3 linked regions of the Oreochromis niloticus genome follow. The protein of the gene in region 2 purifies or fractionates together with the protein of the main gene of each other region. This does not show direct contact. Links are inferred from orthologs where the notes say so. Each region holds a gene or a part of one and is shown on either strand. Other genes may lie near its edges. The genes, in order: rfc5, rad9a and clspn.

Evidence for each region.
Region 1: the proteins of rad9a (region 2) and rfc5 purify together in Homo sapiens (affinity purification with mass spectrometry; 3 studies listed by BioGRID and IntAct, with this or other methods). This does not show direct contact. The link is inferred for Oreochromis niloticus from reciprocal best matches to the Homo sapiens genes RAD9A and RFC5.
Region 3: the proteins of rad9a (region 2) and clspn purify together in Homo sapiens (affinity purification with western blotting; 3 studies listed by BioGRID and IntAct, with this or other methods). This does not show direct contact. The link is inferred for Oreochromis niloticus from reciprocal best matches to the Homo sapiens genes RAD9A and CLSPN.

Annotation. Positions count from the first base shown.
Region 1 is NC_031977.2:30,125,066-30,132,029, reverse strand, and holds the start of rfc5 (replication factor C subunit 5), read right to left. Parts: upstream 3,043-6,964; 5' UTR 2,898-3,042; coding exon 2,851-2,897; intron 2,313-2,850; coding exon 2,248-2,312; intron 1,935-2,247; coding exon 1,798-1,934; intron 1,690-1,797; coding exon 1,610-1,689; intron 1,487-1,609; coding exon 1,413-1,486; intron 911-1,412; coding exon 751-910; intron 116-750; coding exon 34-115; intron 1-33. Other genes in the region: ksr2 (kinase suppressor of Ras 2), read left to right, coding at 5,130-5,303. UniProt on the Homo sapiens protein: Subunit of the replication factor C (RFC) complex which acts during elongation of primed DNA templates by DNA polymerases delta and epsilon, and is necessary for ATP-dependent loading of proliferating cell nuclear antigen (PCNA) onto primed DNA.
Region 2 is NC_031966.2:22,445,404-22,453,125, reverse strand, and holds the start of rad9a (cell cycle checkpoint control protein RAD9A), read left to right. Parts: upstream 1-4,632; 5' UTR 4,633-4,868; coding exon 4,869-4,902; intron 4,903-4,995; exon of another isoform or gene 4,996-5,018; coding exon 5,019-5,089; exon of another isoform or gene 5,090-5,212; intron 5,213-5,224; coding exon 5,225-5,298; intron 5,299-5,409; coding exon 5,410-5,458; intron 5,459-7,722. Other genes in the region: uncharacterized protein zgc:113229, read right to left, coding at 2,099-2,241, 2,317-3,126. UniProt on the Homo sapiens protein: Component of the 9-1-1 cell-cycle checkpoint response complex that plays a major role in DNA repair. The 9-1-1 complex is recruited to DNA lesion upon damage by the RAD17-replication factor C (RFC) clamp loader complex.
Region 3 is NC_031985.2:14,063,082-14,070,809, forward strand, and holds the start of clspn (claspin), read right to left. Parts: upstream 3,097-7,728; 5' UTR 2,824-3,096; coding exon 2,797-2,823; intron 2,053-2,796; coding exon 1,935-2,052; intron 1,010-1,934; coding exon 576-1,009; intron 1-575. Other genes in the region: ago4 (protein argonaute-4), read left to right, coding at 4,292-4,514.

The sequences.
Region 1 (6,964 bases), on a different chromosome or scaffold from region 2:
TAAACAGAGCCGATGATGAACTTCTGGCCATACCTGCAGTATGTTGAGCGATCTTCTCATGTCACCTGTTGATAAGGTCACGATACCCTTCATTCCATCTGGCGTGATGTCAATACTGTCACAAAAAGTAATGACATAATCAACTATTTTTAAATCATATCAAAGTTAAATTAAAACTTGCGACATGAACACATAACTGATGACATTTAATAAATAGAGCAATCAAAAATAGTTCCAAGTCCGTTCATTAATTTCTTCCATCTCAAGTTACATGTACCAATAAATGTGAAACAATGAGAAAATTCATTTCCTATTGTGGTATTTGTTGGTTTTTCAGGGCTTGGTACAGTTGAGAGGACAGGGTTGATGTTGCCCCCTGATTTAAACTGTTTTCAAACACACAGAGAAGCCCTAAACTTCTAAAAATTACCCAACAGAAACGTAACATAAGAACAAAGACTCTAGATTTTAAACAACCTTTAATGTGGTTGGTATTATGTCTGTCTCTAAACTACCATAAAAATAGAGAATGTTCATTTAGAAGGAAATGAACAAACTTATAAATTCAGCAGGGGATCAAATAATTATTTCTCTCACTATAGGCAGACTAGCGGAGCCCAGTGGAGGCCAACAGGTACAAATACATTTGTCAAGTTCATTAGCAATTCTGGGAATAATTCAATGAGATGTAAAAACAAAAACGAAAAAAACAACAGTAAGTGGAGAGAAAGCATTCACACATTAACTCACTTCTCCTGCTGGATAACGTGCTCCAACCGAGGGATCATCTGGTCTGGCGAAAGGGGACCAAAGCGGAACCTGGTGCAGCGAGATTGCAGGGCGGGGATGATCTTGGACAGGTAGTTGCAAATGAGACAGAATCGAGTGTTTTCTGTGAACTTCTCAATGACTGAGACAGAGAGCAAGGGTGGGATGAAAGCAGGGAAACAAGTTTAAAATGTAAATTCTGGCAACATCTTAGTCAATAAAAAAAAAAAATCCACTTTTTTGAATAATCTATCCTAAGTACTTGCTAAATGTTGCTAAGATTGTGCAGGACACTCGTAAACCACCTCATTGAGAATTTAGAATTGACAGTAATATACTAATAATACCATCCACTGTTCCTTCACCATGCATCTATTTAGAACTATAAAACAGCACTGCACAGCAATAGATGCTTTATAAATGAAATATGGAAACATTATTAGAAAAACACAGGTTGGACTAAATTTACAAAATATTTTACAGTTAAATTCAATAATTATTTCCACTCTTCTGGAAAGCAAAGCTTTTTAAATAAATATCCAGGTTTAAAAGTAGATACACTGTAAGTCAGCAGCAGCCAAATTGCCTGCTCACTGAGCCGTGTGCCTCACAGTGGGTAGTGCCTGAACGAACAGATGGCTTACCTCGACGCAATGCATTCTGGGCATCCTGGGTCATGGCATCGGCCTCGTCTAGTATCACCAACTTGAAGCCCTTCCTGAAGGACAAGATAAATAAAAAAAGGCAGCAGCTTACATTTCCACTGCACTTCTTAACTGCATGTAAAAGTACTGAGAACACTTATTTCTGATCAAAATCTCTATAAGTGTTTTAGTCTTACTTGAAGATGGTCCTGGTGCTGGCAAAACTCAGAATGGGACCTCGTACTACATCAATACCTCTGTCATCAGATGCATTGAGCTATAAAGCAAAATTAATTATATTTTAATGTAAAATGGCAGAGTTACAAGTTAAAAAACCTTTACAATTCAGCAAATCCAAATCTTCTAATGAGGAGTTGTAACATACCTCCAACACCATAGAGTTGAACTCCTTCTCTTTGTACAGCTGCCTGGCACAAGCGAGTATGGTTGAGGTTTTTCCCGTTCCAGGTGGGCCGTAGAACAAAAGGTGCGGAAGCTTGTCCTCACTGATAAACCTTTGGACTGGAAATAAAAAGAACAAATGAAAATCAGTTTAAATACAAGTGACCGACGTTTCTTTAACAATCCACATATGCACCCCCCTTGAATAGTTCTATAAATTTGAAACACAAAAGTTTTAAGCAAGTTGACTCAGTACCATGACTCATTAATGACAGTGACGGTATAACCACAGTAAACAAGCTCAGGAGTCAAAAACACTGACAGATAGCATTGAGTTTATCAGTTTATTAAGGTTTAAAAGTAGTTTGCTTATCCATAAGTGTCATGTTATACAGTTTTATAGTACTGTTATTCTGGCAGTCCACATACTTACTAGTGCTCAGAATATCTTTGTGTGAAATCAGATCATCAAGTGTCTGTGGTCTGTATTTTTCAACCCTGAAACAGGAAAACACACACACGCATTCATACTTGCGATAACTACTGAGTTTACAGCATGGCAAATAAGCAACCTCGAATGAATTTTAAAGCAAATTATTGAAACGTCTACGGATACATATGATAAGCGCTGACAAACGTTGACATATCCCATTACAGATGCCCACTTTTTAGTTCGGCATCCTTATTTTTTTTCGTAATATCACCCTTTATTATAAACAAAACGTCAACCTTACAGCACTTTCACCGCAGTCAGAAGCTGCAGGTTTTCGGTTAACCTGTTGCTGAAGTGGCACCATGTTAATGCTTGATGGACTGATAAGATTTATGTAAGCCGAACTGAAGATAAGTTCATTTCCTTCCATTTTACAAATATGCGTAATAACTAACGTCATTTCTAAATGTACATAAAGCTATCAGTTCACAGAATGCATCAGTCTACTCAGTGCAGTGAGCAGCTAGCTTGACAGTAGGCATGTTAGCTAGCTAGCAATAACTTTTTGAACCATTCTGTGATAAACAGCGACTTTCAGCTCACCATGGTAAATTTCTGGTCTGTAGCGGCGCTTTACTTGTAGAAGCCATGTATCCTACCAAGCGTGAATTTTACGCCAAGCTGAGCTAAAGGGTTCCAGAGTTTAAGCCACTGCGATTACTACTGTTGATGGCCCTGTTTGGCGCGCTCCGCAAACAAAACGTACGTCACACGTCACCACGTACAACCAATGAAATCACATTGTCGTTTTCATGGGCGGAGTATCGGTGACTCGTTCTCTTCTGTAAAAAGTAATAACGGGATTTAGAAATTGTAACAATAAAAGATACACAATATCAAACATCATAAAAACGAAGGTATATGTCTCCTCTTTCATTTTTAAATATTGTCTCTCCCATTTTGAACAATTCCTTTCCTTAATCAGTGAAAATGAAAATCAAACTCAGCAGTAGATTTTTTGTTTTTTTATCCAACAGCAAGAACTAGAAGTCTTTAAAGATGGCATATGGTACTGAAGTCTGAATCACCAATTTAAACAAAAGAAAAAAAGTATTCTGGCTATCTTGATTTTTAAAATAAAAGTCACTTGCACTAAACGTCTTGTTAAATTTTAAAAAAAATAAAATAAAGTCTACTCCTTTCCTTCTTAGATGTAGTTTGTTCACTTTTATACGACACTGACATCTTAATCTCATTATAGTTTATCTTTGTAAGCTTCACAATTGTTCTTGCAAAATAGAGTCTTTTAATATTTAACCATCTTAAAACATGACAAAGAGTGTCAGAAATGTTTTCTACATTTTTTTGCATTTATTTTCTGTTACATGTGGAATATTTTCTTCTGGTAATGGTGCTGACAGTAAAATACACATATCTGTCCATATCTCAAAAAGTGCAGTGTGCCCATATATTTATCTAGAGCCTGAATTTGAAATATTACCTAACCTTATACTTTACACAACAGGTTTCTCTGAAACATTTTCTTGATCATCATGGGTTAGTGAAAAAAAGCTGTGAGCACACAAGTACACAAGATTTTGTGTACCATCTCCTATCTCTTTAATCGTCTTGACTTCTCAGATTTGTTGCTGGAAACCTCCAAAGCATCCTGATTCCCAGGCTGCATTATACTGCATCAGTCAAGGATAATGATTTAATATCACAGCCTGCATTTTGACAGCATTCAATCCTTAATGTTTGGTTTATATATTTTTTTTTTTTTGCAATTGCTGTTTTTGAACAATCCAGTTTCTATTTGTAATGTCTGCATTATAACCTATATTCTAACTGAGGAGCTTCACTGTGATCAAGATCTCTTCTGCAAATTAAAACTGAGCACAGAGGAAGAAGAAATGAGATAAGGCACACAATAAAAAACAGAAGATTCCACTCACATGCAAACATCATCAGGCATAGTACAGAGTTGTCTAACTAGGCCAAAAATTAAATGTCACACACGAATCAATGGAAAAGAATATTTGTTCTTCCATTTAACTTTAAAGCATATTTAAATCATTTTCTAGAAATATTTTGAAGTGTTTGTAGCTGTTGACTGCAGGCTATATAAGTGTCTTGGATGTGAGTGCACACAGCATGAGCCTGTAATAAACTAATAGAATCATACATATTCAGTAAAAGGACATCTTTGTTTCAAACATGTAAAGAGGGATAGTTTTGTCCCTAACCCTAGCCTGGCGTTTCAAGCATATTAAGCTCTCTGCCCTGCTCTGTAATCTCGCGAGAACGGCCCCTCACGGTGGTGCCTGGGCGATGCGATGCTGTTGCTGTGGGTTTGATTGACAGGAAACATGTCGGTGTGGTGGGAGAGAACCGGGATGCAGCTGCTGCCTAGGGAGACAGGGAGTACCTGCATCCAGTCCGCACATCAGCACCTTTAAAACCAGCAGGCTTTTCCCCGACGCGTCTACTTATGGTGCGCTGAACAGCTTCTTCTTCTTCTTTTTCTTTTTTTTTTCAAACATACATTTGAAAGAAGTGGAACCCAATGGATGCAGACCGCGTAGTCCCGCTTGGTATCTTCATACTGTGTTTGATTTAGCCCACAACCAGAGACACCTTGATGAAACAGCAGGAACTACGAGGACTGTTGTTGCAATGGAGTCGACTCTCTCACGGCTCAAAGCCCGTCTCTAAACCTTCAACATCTCGTTTCATGGCGTTTTGCAGGTTGCTCCGTTCCGTGGGTTTCACCACGCTCCTTTCTTGAATAATCATCAATATTTTTTTCCCCTTGTTTTTGAATTAATTCATTCCTTTTTTGTTAAGTGCAGCGGAAAAAAACGTCCACTGTTCACAAAACTATGAACGAGGAGATGACAAAAAGCGAGGAGCAGCATCTTAGTTTGCAGAAAGCCTTGCAGCAGTGCGAGTTGGTGCAAAATATGATAGACATAAGCATTTCTAGTTTGGAGGGTTTACGGACCAAATGTGCCACATCCAACGACTTGACACAAAAAGAGATACGAACGCTGGAGGTAAGCACCCTTTGAGCGGAATCATCGGATTTCTGCTGTGCATCTACATCCAAATCAATATGGGGGGGTGGCGGGCTGCCGCCGTTTGTTATTTATTTCAAGGCCACTATGCATAATTTTTATGTGTCTTTTCTACGGCAGACTGCTTTTCTGCTGCCACTGCATAAATATGCAACGATTTCAGCTAAAGCCCACTGCTATCTGTTTTGTGCAGTGCAATAAATCAAGAGGCCAAGGGGCTGCAGTGAGCTGTTATAGACTTGCGCATTCTGCAGGTGGCGGGGAGAGAAGGTGGCTCTTCTCCACCAGAATAATATCTGAGGCAGCCGAGGCCTATAGGCAGCCCGTGTTTACAATCCATTAGCAATATGCCAGCCTGCGCATCTGTTCTCGCAGCCAGGCCCTGCGTTATGCAAGGCTGGCAGATTACTGAAATTGTTACAAAATATCGTTATCCGTTAATTGGCCCGTGGGGTATTCCGTAAATTGCGTTACGTAATGGTCATGTTGTGTGTTGAGATATCAGGCTGCCCTTTTTGAGACTACTTAGACCAGTCGAATAAACCCCTTACCACTGACAGGCTGTTACAGGACATAAAGATGCCATAAAGTGCGATAAGCTCACTGCAAACTCACTATAGCCTATTGAGCACTGCAGACACAGCACGGCATTTAGGGCCTATAAGAATGTTATTGTGATGTCTCATGAGATTGAAACAAATACCATTAAGTGATAAGGTCTCCATAAACTCACCACTAAGTCTTTGTGTGCGCCATCAACAGACTTTAAGTCCTAGTGGGAGAATAATTAAGATACTACGTTAACAAAATACCAAGAAATCACTTGTGAGTGGCACACACTTAATCTCATCCCCACAGGAATATGAGACTGTGCATAACACATAAACATATTGCAAAGTATTCATGTCTGAGCTGTTAAATGGAGTTTGCAAGTGCTGGACAGGGGACAGGAATGTAATCCAAGTGAAGAAATAACTAAATATATAAAGTGCAAATGCTCTGCCAGCAATGAGCAGGCTACACTGTGAAGATAAGTGTTCACTATGTTCCCTGCATGCTTTGCAAAGCGCTTTCGGTACTGGATTACTAGTTATAAGCATTATGGGGTATTATTTTTATTTCACCAGTAAAATTAGCCTGACAAATTTTTGTGAATGGATTTATCAGAAAGATTTTATTGATTGTGTCATGGTTTGACCTATTTCTCCAAACTTAAGAAGGGTAAGGATATCCTTTTTAATTTGCCTAAACCAAAAGTTAGGATATACCCAAGCTATGTGTTCAGTTCTTTTCAGAAAATTTTGGCATCCATTATTAGCATGTTTGTAGCAACTGTGCTGCATGGCTAATACCTGTATGAAAAGGACACGTTAGTTGAAGGAAAAATAATCTTCTCTCAGAAGCTGAGTTAAAGGATTGTATTTGGAGTGCAAGAAACACCACTTTCTCTGTCATTTTAAAATTATGCTTAACTTCAGTCTTCCACAGGCTGTTAGACAGGTTGTTACATTACAAAGACAGAGATTTTTCATATTGACACTGAATTTGAGAGAGACATTATCCTTTAAAACAAGAGTTTTCAAAGTGCAGCTTGCACAAACTTATATTCCCACCTTAAAGAGATCTTGCAAAATTTTAAA
Region 2 (7,722 bases):
AGCATTCCTCCGAGACCCTGGTGCTACATATGACATATAACAGACAAACACAGGACTAGACTACGTAAAAGTGCAATGTGCAAAAAAATAAACAAGACAAGACAGTGCAACACTAAACACAACGATATAGACACAACACAGTGCAATAGAAATGTGCAAAATGCTGAGTATTGTGCAAAAATAACTTGGTGTCTGTAGGGGTGTCTGTGTGTGTGTGTGTGTGTGTGTGTGTGTGTGTGTGTGTGTGTGTGTGTGTGTGTGTGTGTGTGTGTGTGTGTGTGTGTGTGTGTGTGTGTGTGTATGAATGTGAGACACTGCATATGTGTCAGTCCAGTCACTGAGTGTTCAGGAGTCTAACGGCTGAGTCACTGACTGCAAATTACTTTAATCCAAGTACTGAAAATTGTATTTAGATTTAAAATTATCTTAGTACAACCAATTACTTCTGATCCCCTGAAATTTCTAAACAGCTAATGCAAAATTTTTGTAAAACCCCAGTGTGCAGGAACAAAACTACAAAAACTGTCATTGTCCAACAACTTATGGACCTAACTTTATATTATAGAGCAGAGATATCAAACTGATTTTACATAATGGGCCACATGCAGACCACTTTGTGTAAGAGTACATTTAATGCCTCAGAGATCTCAATATAGGAAAAAAGAAGTGCAGTTTTAACAATATGTCTCAGCTTTACAGCATAATAAGAAATGCTGCTGTACTTAATGAAAGAAATCTCTCAGCAGATTAAATTATTAAAGTTCTGTTTGCTCATTGTCCAGGCTGTCCTGGAGAAAGCTTTTGTCAATACACAGAAAATGTCCTATTTTATTTGTTTACCTTACTGTGGTCTTCTCGCAAAAACCAGACATGTCTATAGTAGATAGTAAAAGAACAGGAACTTGTGTTTATCTGTTACTTCATTATTGTATTATGAATGATTGTGGGAAAGGTCTTTATCACTAGAACAAGCTGTAAAGTTTATGAAAATACAGTTAAAAGTCAAAAATGTATGCCCTCCTTCACATTTTCCAAAGACATTCAGTGGGCCGAATTGGAGTCTTTGCCAGTTCGATTATGTTTGACTAAATTCTATTAGCAAGTATTACTGTTTAGTCCACTGCGCCACAGAACTCCACTGTTTCCCTAGAAATGTATCAATATACATAAAACACATCAATGACACACACTGTGGCAGTAGTTTAGATTAGTTTACATGGGCCTTCATGGGCCAACTAAGCTTACAAGTTAACTCAATACAACTGAAATGCTGACCAGAGCAAATTTTATAAAACCTGGTTTTTGTTTGTTGCCTGTTGTTATTTGTTTTTACCCCCTGAGACACCACCAGTCAAGTATCGGTATGTTTTTATATAGCTTTAAGGCTTGTTCTTATCTTTTGTCATTGGTCAAATTCGCACTTTTACAATTTCTAAGCTATTTCATATTCTCTACGACCTACTTTTCATGCTCTCATTTCCAGCAAGTAGAGCTCAGGTGGCATTTCCTGTACATTAAATATACTACAGACCAGTTTTGCACCACATCTAGATCACTTGATTATGTTTTTGTAGTGTTCCTCAATCTTCCTCAAGATCCAGCCAGCTAAGTCTACCTGTTTTATGAAATTACAAATCCTTCAAAATTAAAGCTACATATATGGGAGTTTTTAATAATTTATGTCTCTGGTAGGAAAAACAAAAAAGGAAACAAACTTGGCTTTGGGATGTGAGTATCTTTCCATCTTTTGTGTTAAGTTCTAATGAGAGAATCGTTCTTTATGAGTTACTTGCACAGAAACTATGTACATCTGTTTCCTTTTATAGCAGGTTATAAAAAAATCTCATCGTACACATGAAAGTTTGTAATGACATGCTGTCAGTGACAGGGTGTGTTTGGCACATCAGACCACAGACGCACATCAAAAGTAAAGATGTCCGATGGCTGGAAACATCTCAAATACTTTGCATATCTTACTGCTGACGTTTCAAAGTAAATAAAGCCAAAAAAACCTGTACGGCTTTCAGTTTGTGCCATGCTGCTAGAGTGCAGGTCTGGATGTATTTGTGCAATTTAGCATCATTTGTGTGCCTGTTACCTGATGTGGCTGTCGTTAGTGGCGTCCTGTGTGCGTGCAGGAAGCATTTTACTGGCTCCACTGGTGTCCAGTGAATGGAGGGTCCTTTCATCCTTATTTGATGCATTGATGAGGCTTTCTGTAACCTGGTTTGGGTGTGAAATCTGCGTGAAAAAACAAGTTGCAGTGTCACTTCAAGATTTCTTTTTGATGATTATATGACAAAACACACTACTCACCTCAGGTCCCTCCTCACTCTTCTGGTCTCCTATGCTTCCTCCTTCTTCTTCTTTTCCCTTTTTTCCTTGTCTGTCCTTCCATCGATCCTTGAGCCTCTGCGTCCACCTTCTGGTTTTATTCTCAGATGATCTCTGTTTCCTCCTCACGCTGCTGTTTGTTGTTTTTTGACTGTCTGTGGCAACCTGCGAATCTTTGTTTTCTGCCATCGCTCCAAATCCTCCATTTCCTACGTTTAACGCTTCATTGTCTTGACCTCCTGCGAAAGGGTCTGTGTTTTTCACGGCCCACAGGTAGGCCTTAGGTTTAAAGCCCTGCTCCTGGTTCTCATTCACTCCCATGCTTTGGGCAGCATGTGCGTTAGGAGGCATGCTTCTTTTCATTGCAGAATTGCCAAAACTCCACTTCTCAGTATCAGTCCTCTCAAAGGAAGCATCCTTAAGTGATGTGGTAGGAAACAGCTGCCCTGTTACTGTTGGGGTGATCGCAGGCTGTGTCGCCTGTCCCATAACCCTGCTATCACCAGTGTCACCATCACTGTTGTCTTTCTGGGAGGGGAAGGAAATAAAACCCCTGTCCACCCCACCTCCATGACCGGGCTGCTGTAGTTGACCAAATTTGAAGCTAAAGTTGCTGTCTGCAGCAGGGCTCCTGACCTTATTCGAAGGGATACCATTAGTACCTGGGCTGCTGTTTTCTGGTCCAAGTGTGTGCCGGTGCCCCTGGCCCTCTCTTTCCGACTGCAGCCTCAGTTTCTGCAGCATGGACTGCAGCAGGGCGTGGGAGTCTGCTGGATTAGGTGACTGAGACATCTAGGAACACAACCTCTAAGTCCTCTAAATCCAGGAGTCGCAGAAACACGTGTCAACACCACAGTGAAACCGGATAAACAAGGACGGACTCTACGCAAGTAATATAATTCGTCGCTTTACAACCAGCATGACAAGAGGAAAAATACCTTTGTGTAGAAGATATCACTCTTTGGTCCAGTTCTTGTTAGAAAGACACCTGTTATGGCTGCTTTCGCCTTTCTGAATAATCCAATCCCTTTCCATGACAATGTAGTTGCTTCATAGCAAATATGAAGAAAGATCCACCTCTTCCACTTAACCGTCCAGAGGTAGAAATCCTTCTTCTTCTTCTTCTCTGTGTAAACTGCTGCTTCTTATGCTGCCTCCACTAATCCTCGATCCTCAAGAAGAGCAGCAGAAGTCTTCTTCTCTTGTTCTGCATCAAAGAGATATAAGCTTTTGTTGTTTTCCCAATTTTCAAAAGTCTCTCGCTTTTACTAAATACCCATAGTTCCATTACACTACGGGTGTTGTAGTCACACCTCTTCTCCAGCAGCCACTTATATCACTGGTAATGGGAGGGGAGACTGTGCACGGCTGCGTTCCTCAGATCTTACAAACTGAAGCAGACCAACAAGAAAGACCAGTGAGGTGAGATAATTGTTTGCTGACTCTAACTCTCTCCCACTGTGTGTCTTTCTGCCCATCTTTGTATTTTGCCCTCCCTTCCTTCTCATTTCTCTACTTGGCACGCTTGCTCACACAAGTGCACACACACCCTCTGTGACCCGTAACTGATAATTATAGGGCGTTCTTTAAGAGCGGCCGCTATGTATGCGCCTGCCAAATTAAAGATATAGGAAAATGTCTGCACTGAGCTTTGCAGTAACCCATTTTATACCAATTCTGTGAAAAATGCTGTCACAGAGTTCTTTGCTACTGTTGTTGAAATAAAGTAGTAGATTCTCCAAACATGCAGTGTACTTCAGCTTGGAGAACACCATGCAATATTTCTTATAGGTTTGTTAGCCACCAGCTATATTGTTCCCCACTGCAAGTCATTACAAGATGCTGCTGCCCTGATAAACTCTTAACTGTTCTAACTACATTTCAGCCTACTAAAATGCATTTTAAACCATTTGTCATTACAGTAATTGTACTGCCTTCTTTCTGACTGAAGGTTTAGACTATAAGATTAACTAGGTACACTACAGTACTTGAAAAGTTACTTTCCTATTCTGACATGAACTTATTTAATAATAATCATGTTGCTGATCATTAACTAAAGTTTATATAACAATTAGTAATAATATACTTCTTTATCCACTACATTAATACCTTATTTTTTGTTTTTTCGTCACGCCATCTTTATATATTTCTAACCGGGACGATCACAAATAACCAGCCACGAAGATGCAGTGAAAAAAAGACAAGTGGCAGAATGTTCACTTGGAAACTAAGTGCGCATGTGCACTGTCAAACTCACGCCCCCTTTAAGTTGCCGTGTATCTGATTGGTCCGCACTTTGTAAGCGGGTAATGGCGGCGTAAACAACGCTGACATCGATGAAAGAGACACTGCTTAACCGAGAAAAATAAACTTAGACTGGAAATAAACGGAGTATGCTTTCGGTAGGAAGATTTGCTCTCGGTGTGGAAACGATTAAAACTCCGTCTTGTGTACTTCTCGGTGATGCTTAGCCGCTCGTTTTGGCTAACTTTTAGCCAAATGTGCTAACTTAGCGGAAAAGTGAGTTTGCAGAGATGCACTGTATCGTAACGGGAGGAAACGTGAAAGGTAGCAGACATTTCCTGCATATTAAACACAGTCTCTAGCTAGAATATGTATCATTAATTAGTTGTCGCTAATAATTATCTTGTGCGTGTGTTGGTGGGTGTGTCTGTACCGTCCAGTACTGGCCAAAGCCGTCCATTCTCTGTCCAGGATCGGCGATGAGCTGTATGTTGAGCCTCAGGAAGATGGGGTGAGCTGTTCTGACACTGACTTGCACACCATCACTTCCTCCTACAATGCAGATAGGCTTGTTGCTTCCTGTGGGTGCACACTTTGCGTCAATGAAAAAAGTTGATTTGTTGGTCTCTCTCTCTCTCTCTCGTAGCTGGCCCTGCGGTCTGTGAACTCCTCTCGGTCGGCTTATGCTTGCTTCCTGTTCGCACCACTCTTCTTCAGCAGGTGCAGAATACATGCCTGTGTTTATAAATGGCATCTCTGTGTGAGAGAAAAAGAAAGCGTGTATATGAGCTAACTTTAATCTGCCTTTTATACCTCTGTTTTTCTGTGCAGGTACTCCACTACTAGTGGGGATAACTTCCGCTGCAAGATGGCAATAAAGGTGTGAGAGAATTAGATAAGCTTCTGTTTTTCAAGGCGTTATACAGTCTGGGTGTGACATTGATTACATTTGAGTAGATAATGTGGTTCCCAAACTTTCATGATGACATAACACCCAAAGTTATTATAGCGTTCTTTTCTTTAGGAACATTTAGGATATGCCAGAGGTGTGTTTTTCACAAGTTCAGATTAGCTTTTACTACAGATATGCAACTTTGTGAAGGTATTTAAGTTCCAGTTACAATCTTGTGAAAACTAGCTTTCTCAGGTCTTTGTTACTTACAGTTAGAACTGTGAAAAACTAAGTACACCCCATGATTCAGTAGCTTGTAGAACCACCTATAGGAGCAATCACTTGAAGTTTATGAGTCTCTTACATTGTTTCAAAGTAATCGTTTTCTGTTTGACTTTACCAGTGTCTCAAATCTTTGTGGTGGAGTTTTGGCCTACTGTTCTTTACAGTGTTGCTTCAGTGCATCACAGTTTGCGGACATTCATTTATGCACAGTTCTCTTAAGGTCCCACCTCAGCAGTTCAGTTGGGGTCAGGTCTAGAGCTTAATTATTTTCTTTTTCAGCCATTCAGTTGTAGATTTGCTGTGGTACTTGGGATTCATGTCCTCCTGCATGATGCTGTTTGGGACAAGTTTTGACTGTCAGACCGATGTCCTCACATTTCAGTCTGGAATACTTTGGTAAACAGAGGAGTTCATGGTCAACTCAATGAGTGGAAGGTGTCAGTGTCCTGTGGCTGCAAAACAGGCTCAAATCATCACCTTCTCCCCATCATACCTGACAGTTGGTATGAGGTGTTTGTGCTGATATGCTGTGTTTGGTTTTCACCAAACAGAGGTCTTGTGGTTTCTTCAGTTGCAAGCCGAAGATGTGCTGCCATATTCTTTTACAGCCAAGAGAGGCTTTCTGCTGGCAACCCTTCCAAACAAGCCAAACTTGTTCAGTCTTTTTCTAATTGTACTCTCGTGAACTTTGACATTTAACTGCTAACTAAGGCCTGTAGAGTCTGAAATGTAGCTCTTGGATTTTTTTTTTTTTTTTTTTTTTTTTTTTTTTTGCAGTTTCTCTGTTCACTGCACAGTCTGTCACTGGTGTGAGTTTGCAGGGACGTCCACACCTGGAAGGATTGACAGCTGTCTTGAATGTTTTCCACTTGTAATTAATCGTCCCCACTGTGTTCAAATTATTTGGAATTCGGTTTATAACCACTGTCAGACTGCTTTGCATCAACAATGGCTTCTTTAAGATCACTGCTGACGTTCCATCCTTGGGATTGTGTTAACACACACCTGAATGCTCCAGACATGCAAACTACTCACATTTTGAATTTGATTACAAGCACCTAGCAGTAAGACGGTACTTAGTTTATCTCGGGATTGCATAGAGTCAGTCACTTGACTGTCACGGATCTCACTAAGCATGCTTACCAAAGGCCCCTCAGGCAGGTTGTGATAAGTATCACTTCAGTTACTTTTCTTTTGTTTTCTAGTCTAGTTTTAATTCTTTTTAAGCTCACAGTTAATTTTAAATAACTACATTGACCTTGCAATAAACCCCAAAGTCCCATCACAAAAAGTTCAACCACTCGATCACAAAAGATGTACTGAAACTACAGCTGCCAGTCTGATTTTTGTCTAATAGTTTGGTCAGGTTTGCATTCATGTGACCACTACCAAAATGTGAAAAATGTCAATTTTAACTTACTCTCTATATATTTTTCTTCTCCTTTTCTCACTGGTTTACATTCATTTTCAGTCTCGGTTTGCTATGTTAGGGAAATGTGGCTGATAGTTTCTTGATTACTTTGATTTTAAACATACTAAAGATAAACATCACACTTTCTTATAATGATTTTTTCTGTTCCTTGTTTTTTTTTTCGTTGTTGCTGTTTTTCAAATTAACTGCATGATGGCCGTACTTGGGCCTCCCTGATGTAACTACAGTTAGGAATAGCAGATCTTATTCTTAGGATTGAGAGTGTAGTCTTGTATCTGCTGACAGCTTCAAATGCCTCCTTTCCTGTCGTGTTACCACCCTTCGGTTGTGGTTATCTGTGTTCAAGTTTTGCAAAAACCTCACAGCTTCCTCGTATTAACAGTTGTACTTAGCAGTTATATCAGAGACTGGATTGTGTGTCACTTTTCAGAAACGGCAAACATATTGATTTAGATATCATTTGAGTGTCACTAAAATGTTTATTCGCATTGATTGCTACCAGAGTGTGTCATTGCGTATTGATAAGCATTATTTC
Region 3 (7,728 bases), on a different chromosome or scaffold from region 2:
TTTTTTTTCTTTCTTCCTAACAACAAAGTTCTTCCAGAAGCAGATCTGTTTACTTGACCTTGCAGTTGGACATGCACTGAAAAGCATCATCTGACTGGGACATTTAAAAAAACAAAACAAAAACAAAGGTTTCCAATTTTGAGATAAAATAATGTTTGAAAAACTAATTTTGACAACACATTTAACACAATTATTTGAGGATTTGTGAGTGAGCCATCTTTGTCTTTTTTCTGGTCACACTGACTTAAATAAAGTAATAGAAAGGCCACAAGATTACATTTAAAAAAGAAAATCTACTTAAATAGTATATAAGCTTTTAACATGTAACATACTTGACATAAAATCTTCCTTCACCTACGTGAAGCGTAGTGCACTTTGCTGACAATCATTCACTTTGTGCTTCAAAAACATAATTCTAACTTTTATTGATTTTATTATTTTTTATAATATGTAACAGGCCAGGCTGAGACAGTCCACAGGACGTATTAGTGCCCATGTGTGTTTTAAAAAAAGATGTTATGAGAAGAACCCTTGATGTATCCAGCCAAAAAGAGTTCAGACACTAAAGCACTCACCTCATCCCTTTCAGAGAACCTCTCCTTCTTCTTCAGCTTTTCCACCGCTTTGCAGCGCTTTTCCTTTTTCTCACGATGTCTCTTGCTCTTCTCTCTTTCCTTCACTTCTTTTGCAGATTTCACTTGCCTCTTCACCACTTTCCCCTCTTCCTCCTCCATTTTTCCACTCTTCTCCTCCTCAGGCTCACTGTCCTCGCTATCAACAGGAGCTCGGCTTATTCTCTTGCATTTCTGCCGTCCCTTTTCCTTCTTCTTGTCCTTCTCGTCTACCTTTTCAGTCTCCATTTCCTCTCCGCTGGAAGCAGATAAAACTAGTGCTTCTGCCATGTGTACACTGCTATCTGCAGCTGCCGCCTCTTCCTCGCTGTCACTGTCTCTAATGGCATTACGGTGAGGCTTTCTGTGCACCATGATGTCTTCATCGTCATCAGAATCTGATAAATAAGACAGAAAAACCAACCAATTTAGAAAGTTAGAATGAAGTAGAGTAGAATGGAAATGGTAGAGTGGTAATCCCAGCTCATATCAATGTGTAATGAAACAAAATACTAGAGTTTGCACTAAACAGTGAGAAAAATAAATTCAAGTAGAATTTTATTCTAATGCATATATTTGTTTTACCAATAAATAAATAAATTAAACACATTAAGCAAACTTAATGTGGTTTGGACATGTGAAGTGGGATACTGGACATATTGGTCAAAAAATAAAAAAGGGAGAAAATGGAGCTTCCAGGCAGGAGAAAAAGCAGAAGTCAAAGAGGACATATGTCCTCAGGGAGTGGTTTGGAGGCAAAATGATGGAGTTTTTACTACATAAACAGTTTAATTCGTTTTCAAGTTACCTTTAGAAATCGACAACTTGAATCTTAGAAAAGTTTTTTTGCTCTATGTCACAGCCCTGATGAAATTTCTTTGGTAGAAGGGAAAAAAACATCTTCAGTGAGCACCAAGAGTTCTTATATGCAGGACAATATATGCAGAAAACCTTGATATAAACCCTTCTGAAGAAACCTCAGACAAAACAAATATAAGTCCAGGGAGACTGAAATACTTCATTATTAAAGTATTTATACTATTTCCTACAGAATTTCCCTTGGACTGATATGTTACTCTTTGCCTTTATTGTTTTTCAAACAAATGTGGTCCTTTGGAAACTGGACATCTTTTAGATACTGGTTTGCTTTTCATTTATAACCTTTGAATGTATATTTTCTCAAGAACTGCAGCTTTGAATCTTTGGTCAGACTGGCTCGTTATGGTAACTAGTGTTTCTCTGCCTACTCTGGTGTCACAGGCAGTTGCATAAATGCATACCTCATTTACACAGCCAGAGTGGCTCATTGTTATGCTGCTTTACCTGGACGACCTTCTCTTTTGTTAGAGGTGTCTGTAGCCATCTCCTCTGCTGGTGAGCCCACACCGCTGTCTGAATCACTCTCTGTTGCAGTCTGGGCCACAACTGGAAGTCCCTCACCCTGCATACAGTAGCACATAATACACATGAATTGTTGCTGCATGGGGCGAGTAAAAGGTACTTAGTGGAAAAAAACTTGAGGTTAAGTATCAACTGAAAAACAGTTCATCTGGGGCAGGGGTAGAAGTTCAGTTTAGGTTACTTGATTGAGATTCATGTTGTGTGAGACTGCTTTTGTTAAATCTAGTAACACTAGGAATTCATTTCGAATGGAAGGCAACCCAAATTGCTGCATAGCTCATTAAAACAAAGTACCACAGTATAGCATGTTTCTGCATTTGACAAAAACACAGAGGAGAGGGTGTTAACACAGAGGATGGGTGTCACTTTTGTCACTTTGGGCAGCGAAACTGTTGTTCGTTGACAGGACTGGCGCCTTGAAGTAAACCAAACAATGAGCAGCATGTCTGCCTTTCAACGTTTCTAATTATCACCATTCAGGCAACAGATAAGGCTGTCCGTGAGTCCCCTAGGTCTTACTTTAATAAAAGGATTTAAAATTAAAATGTCAAATTGACACGCTTTAAAAGGCCCAAGCCAGTTACCACTTTCCAAAAGAGCTGAGCTAAACCTAACCTAGCCAGGAAGCTAGGTGGCTAACAAAATGTGCAGTTAGCATATTTCTTTCGATCTTGCCAATCTCCACCAAAAAAACCTACCCGATGAAACAGAGTGATATATGCAAGTCTAGAAAAGTTAGGCAGAGGTTCAAGATAATCACTGACAAACCAAAGCATTGCCTGACCTGTTGTTGAGAAAGCACCAAGCTCATCTTTGTCCGCTGGCTAGTTTACGTTCTTTTTTTGCAAAATAAACCGGCTCAGACGGCACCTCGTAGTCTCGTGTCACCCACAAAAAACGTGGACAAGTTACCGTCAAAGCGACCAGCGCTGCTTCTGTGTTTTAATTGACATTTAGTTAGCGTTTAGCCGGAAAAGTTATCTTCCTCCCGCCTGTTCCATACACACCGAATAGAAATTTTGATGTTTCGCGCGCCGCGACAGCTGGCCCGCAGTTTTTCGCCACCGGAACGTCAATCGCAGTGTTCTCGATTTCCTATTGGTCTGTTTGGCGCAGATGTCCCGCCTAATTTAACTACGCTGCATTGCAAAAGCGTTTGTTTAAACCCCGGGACCTCTCCGGCGAGTGGGGATTGTTGCTGGAGAAGAAACAGAAAGGAAAAAAATTCCAAATATCATAACAACTTTAACACTTATTGACATGCTAATTAATCATAAAGCACAGTTATTGGAAATGCACCGTTTTACAGCTATTCTATTGTCCCGTTGCAAGGAAAATGGCATTGCATAATGGAGTGATATCCTTTATTCAATCATTTATCGCTTATTTGTTCTTTACAGAACTTCTACCCTGACATTTCAAAACCATTACATTTCTCCACATTTCTGTCCATCTACACAGATTTTTCTGTGCAATTCTACTTACAAACCCAGTATTCCTCAATCAAGTCTTAAAGCCAGCGCTTTGTTGATACTAATTAATCCAATTAATGATGCAAATTACATATCTATGAGTTGTCTGTTTCTCAAAATTAATAGCATAACCCTGACTTCTCTTAATTAGTATTTTTTCCAGGTTTGTGCTGCTTAATACAGTTTTGTCAGTGGTGTCTATCACACGGTTAAATGAAACATTCGGATTTTTAGCAGTGTCCCACGGTTTCATTTGTTAGACCGAACAATAACTGTGACGAGTTTCTTCTCTAACCCCGAAACTGACCCCCCCCCACTCACATCCCCACCCAAAGGCTGATACTCCAGGTTAATCAACAAGCGACATTGATTTTTTAATCAGTTTTTTCAGCTCTACTATATAGCTAAACAGATAATTCGTAATCATCAATCAGCAACTGACACTAACACAATGTTCCACTCCAAATGTACTTACCAGTAAGTGAATTTATGTCAACATCTTGCACTCTGAACCATTGCACACAGAGCAAGAACCAAACTGGAGTCCTACTCCTTGAATGCACATACTTGGCCATTAGGTTTTTATTTCCAATTTACATCATTTTTAACAGCATTTTATCATTATAATATTGTTTCAGTTTTATTGAAACCAAGTTTTTTAGAACTTTCAGATGTGACTATTTAAGCCAACTGCGCATGCGTGTCCAGGTGAAAAAAGGTATATATGAAGCAGGGGTGCAGGGCGCAGGGGTTTTTTTTTCAGTGTGGAGGTATCCTACTGGAGGAGGTGGAGTAGCAACAATAGTAATGACTAAGGGCAAGGAGCTGGTACCACGTAGCGAGAATCGTGTGGGGCTGTTATTGAGCGTATCAACTAATTACAGCGTCATGGCAGCAGAAACCATGAACTGGGAGTTGTTGCAGAAAAAATACGGTTATATTTTAAGGCGGTTCCTGGAGCGTTATGTGCTACCAAAGCAAGGCAACGGAAAAGGGAGGAGGTATGAAGACCGGTTTGGATTTAGAAGAGGTACGTATGCTCAGATTTTATATCTTGCCTTGAGTTTCTCTTTATCTTTATTTTGTGACCATGTTTCTACAAGTCCCAACTAAATCTTCAAAGGAAAAACATTCAAATTGAAATCTTAAACTAGAACAGTAACATGTTTGGGGGTCTTAACCCCCCCTCAAAAAAGTAGGTAGGTAAAAGATTTCTTATTATATAATCCAAGTAAATTACAAAAACACAAACGGACGAAAAGCTACTGCCTTTTATTCTGCTTTATTCAGGTAAAATAAAACAGGGCATGTGTGGCTTGCTTGGAAAGTATCACTTCAAAAAGCTTCTCAGTTTGAAAAAACAAAACAAAAAAACTTATACAAGATTTGTTTTAAATGGTTTGATGTATCACAGCACAATTAATTAAGCATTAAGAAACTTTGATATTTGTTATTTGGTGTAACAAATATTTGGTATATACTGTGGTTACAGACAGAAATGGACTTTTAAAATCCCACACTGGAGACGTTCACGCGTCGAATGAATGAGAAAATGAATTGGAGATATAATAGAAAAATGAATGAATACAAGGGTAATTTGTACAGTGTAAAAAATGTTATTATACTTATTGAGGCTATATTGTTTAGCCTGTATTTAATTTTCAATCACAAACAAAGAAATTTAGAGTATAACCAGCAAAAGCAACTGCTTGCATCTCCGCGGTATCCTACGGTGGATTTTCGCCACTTGTAACCGACGCATGCGCATATCCAAATCCTCAGAACGAGCAGCAGCGGCAGCGGTAGCTCAGTTCAGGTCAGCCCAGTCAGCAGTCGTCCACGCGTCTATCTATACTCCCGTTTCTTAAATTTAGCCACTTTCAAGCTTCGAGATACCGCCCCCAATTTCAGCGTCGGTACGGAGCCGCCAGGCCGGGACAGAGACGGAGAGAGAGGCCTCGGCCATGGAAGCGCTCGGACCCGGTAAGGATTTTTAAGAAAGCGAGAGCGGAGCGAGGAGCTGGGAGCGCGAGCCGTGTGTGGGGCGCGTGTGCGCAAATGCGTCGCTTCACTGGGGGCCGCGGCTGCAGCGAGGCCTCGCTGTGACGGGAAAACAAGCCGAGGCCCAAGCCCGTGTTTGTGTACGTACTCGTAGTACGTTATTTACATCGAACCAGGGGGGCTCTTTTTCCTGTTAGTACCGGAGGGGGTTGTTTTTATCCAGTCTCCCGCCGTGTCCGAGGGTTATATTTATGTCAGGCACGCTCTACTCGTCGTGTCGGGGCTGGCATTGTGTGAGTGGGGATTTAACTGGGACCTTCCTTCCTCCTTCCTTCCGCGTCGTGCTGTGTTTACGTTGTTTGGTTCTCGCTGTGTTTATTCGGCGTTTCACGCGTTTACGACCCGATTTCTTCAAGGGGACCGCGCGTTTGCGTCGAAATACGGCGGGATATAACGTGTTTTTGCCAAATCCCCCTCTCAGTTAAATCATATAAATCTGCCTGCACCATCGCCATCAGGAGCAGGCAAGCTCGTCTCTTACACCCCCCTCCCCGCCCGTCCAAGATGACAGCGATGGGTTGGGAAGACAAAATGAATGCCAACAAAACACATGTTTACTCGGCAGATGTGGTGATTTTGTGTTTTTTTTAATGTGAGGTGGTCATTGGTTTGCGCGCCTCTCCTTGGGCAGCAGCCATGCGCCCGTGAGAGCACAGCAGGGATGGATGGCGCTCTTATCGATCAGATCTGCAGGCCAGCTCCATTATAGTCTCCTATATGATAACAAAGGCACGTATTTTGATGCAATAAAGGCATGCAGTGGGAAGTCAAATCATGCACCTGTGCGGTCAGCAGTCCAATATGCAGTGTTATTGTCACAAAGCTGCAAAATATGTTTAGGTCATATTTTTTCCCCCCCACTGGAGACATTGTGTTCTTTTTTTTGTGTGTGTGTGGGAAACGCGCCTTTTCATAAACGAAGCATCTTGCAACAGAAAAAACCAGTCTTCATGCAACAGCATTGACATGGTTTATTATTATTTATTTATTTTTTTGACTTTCTAAATGACCAAACATTTCCCCCGCAAGCAACAGAAGAAAGGTGGTGGCATTAGGAAGCACTAGATGTGTTATTTAAGCAGGAAATGTGCTCCTGCAGAAATTGTTAAATGGATGCAAGAAGCTGTGAGGGTCCAGGATTATTGGGGACAATACAGCCTGTCTATCCTACAGGGGTGTGTTTGGATCATTGTTGCACATAATGAAATGAAATGAAATAATGAGTAATCAGCGTTTTTTATTATACATTAGTGATTGCTTATTGTACCTGCTGTCTGTACCTTGCTACAGCAAGTGTTTAGGTTGTGGAGTGTGAATTGAGATTTTCTATCAAAGCCTTTGTTTACACATTCATAGATGCAGACGTAACAATGAGATTTTTGTGATAAATATAAATATGATCTGTGAACACTGCTCTAGAATTTCTCTTTTTGGGATGTTTGTAAAGCTTTGTTGCCCTTTTCAAAGGCAATGCTGAATCTTATTAATATTGAATTATTAATGATAATATTAATATAATGCGAACTGGTCATGGTGCAGGTGTGAATAGTGAATGCATAATGGTGATTATGTTGAAGTAACTGTAAATCTGAATGGATTAGAAATAAGTTAGACTCTTGGCAGTTCTATTTAGTTGTGTTTGAGCTATGTCACCTTAAGATACTTAACATTATAAGGTAAAGACAACATAATATTGGAGAGAGCACCCAAATAACCTAATACTTTGGCATAATTGCTGTCTTTTTCAAAATTTCTATACACGCTTAATATCATTCTTTTCTTTATGACCAAAATAAACACAAAGCTTTAATATTGTGATGGCCTTAATTGCAGTTTTTAAGTCTTCTAAATTAGTTACAGTAATGACTTGTAGCCCATTCTGTGTGTCTGCTGTCTCCTGTTTAGTCGTGCTTCAGCAATACTCTTGTACAGTGGTGGGGATTTCTTCAAACACAGGAAAGATGTAAAGCAGACGGTCAACTGTCTGTTCTTAGAGGTGTGAAATGCAGCAGTGAGTGGCCTATTCAGTGACAGAATTCAGAATTGGGTTGTTGTTGTCTCGAAATTGTGGTGGAGTCACACAGCATGATGAATATGCAGAGATGAGTGAAAAGACAAAAGCCTGGAGGACACTGAGTGAAACTGGGAAGAAGTGTAGTAATTTTGAAGTATAAGATGGGCTG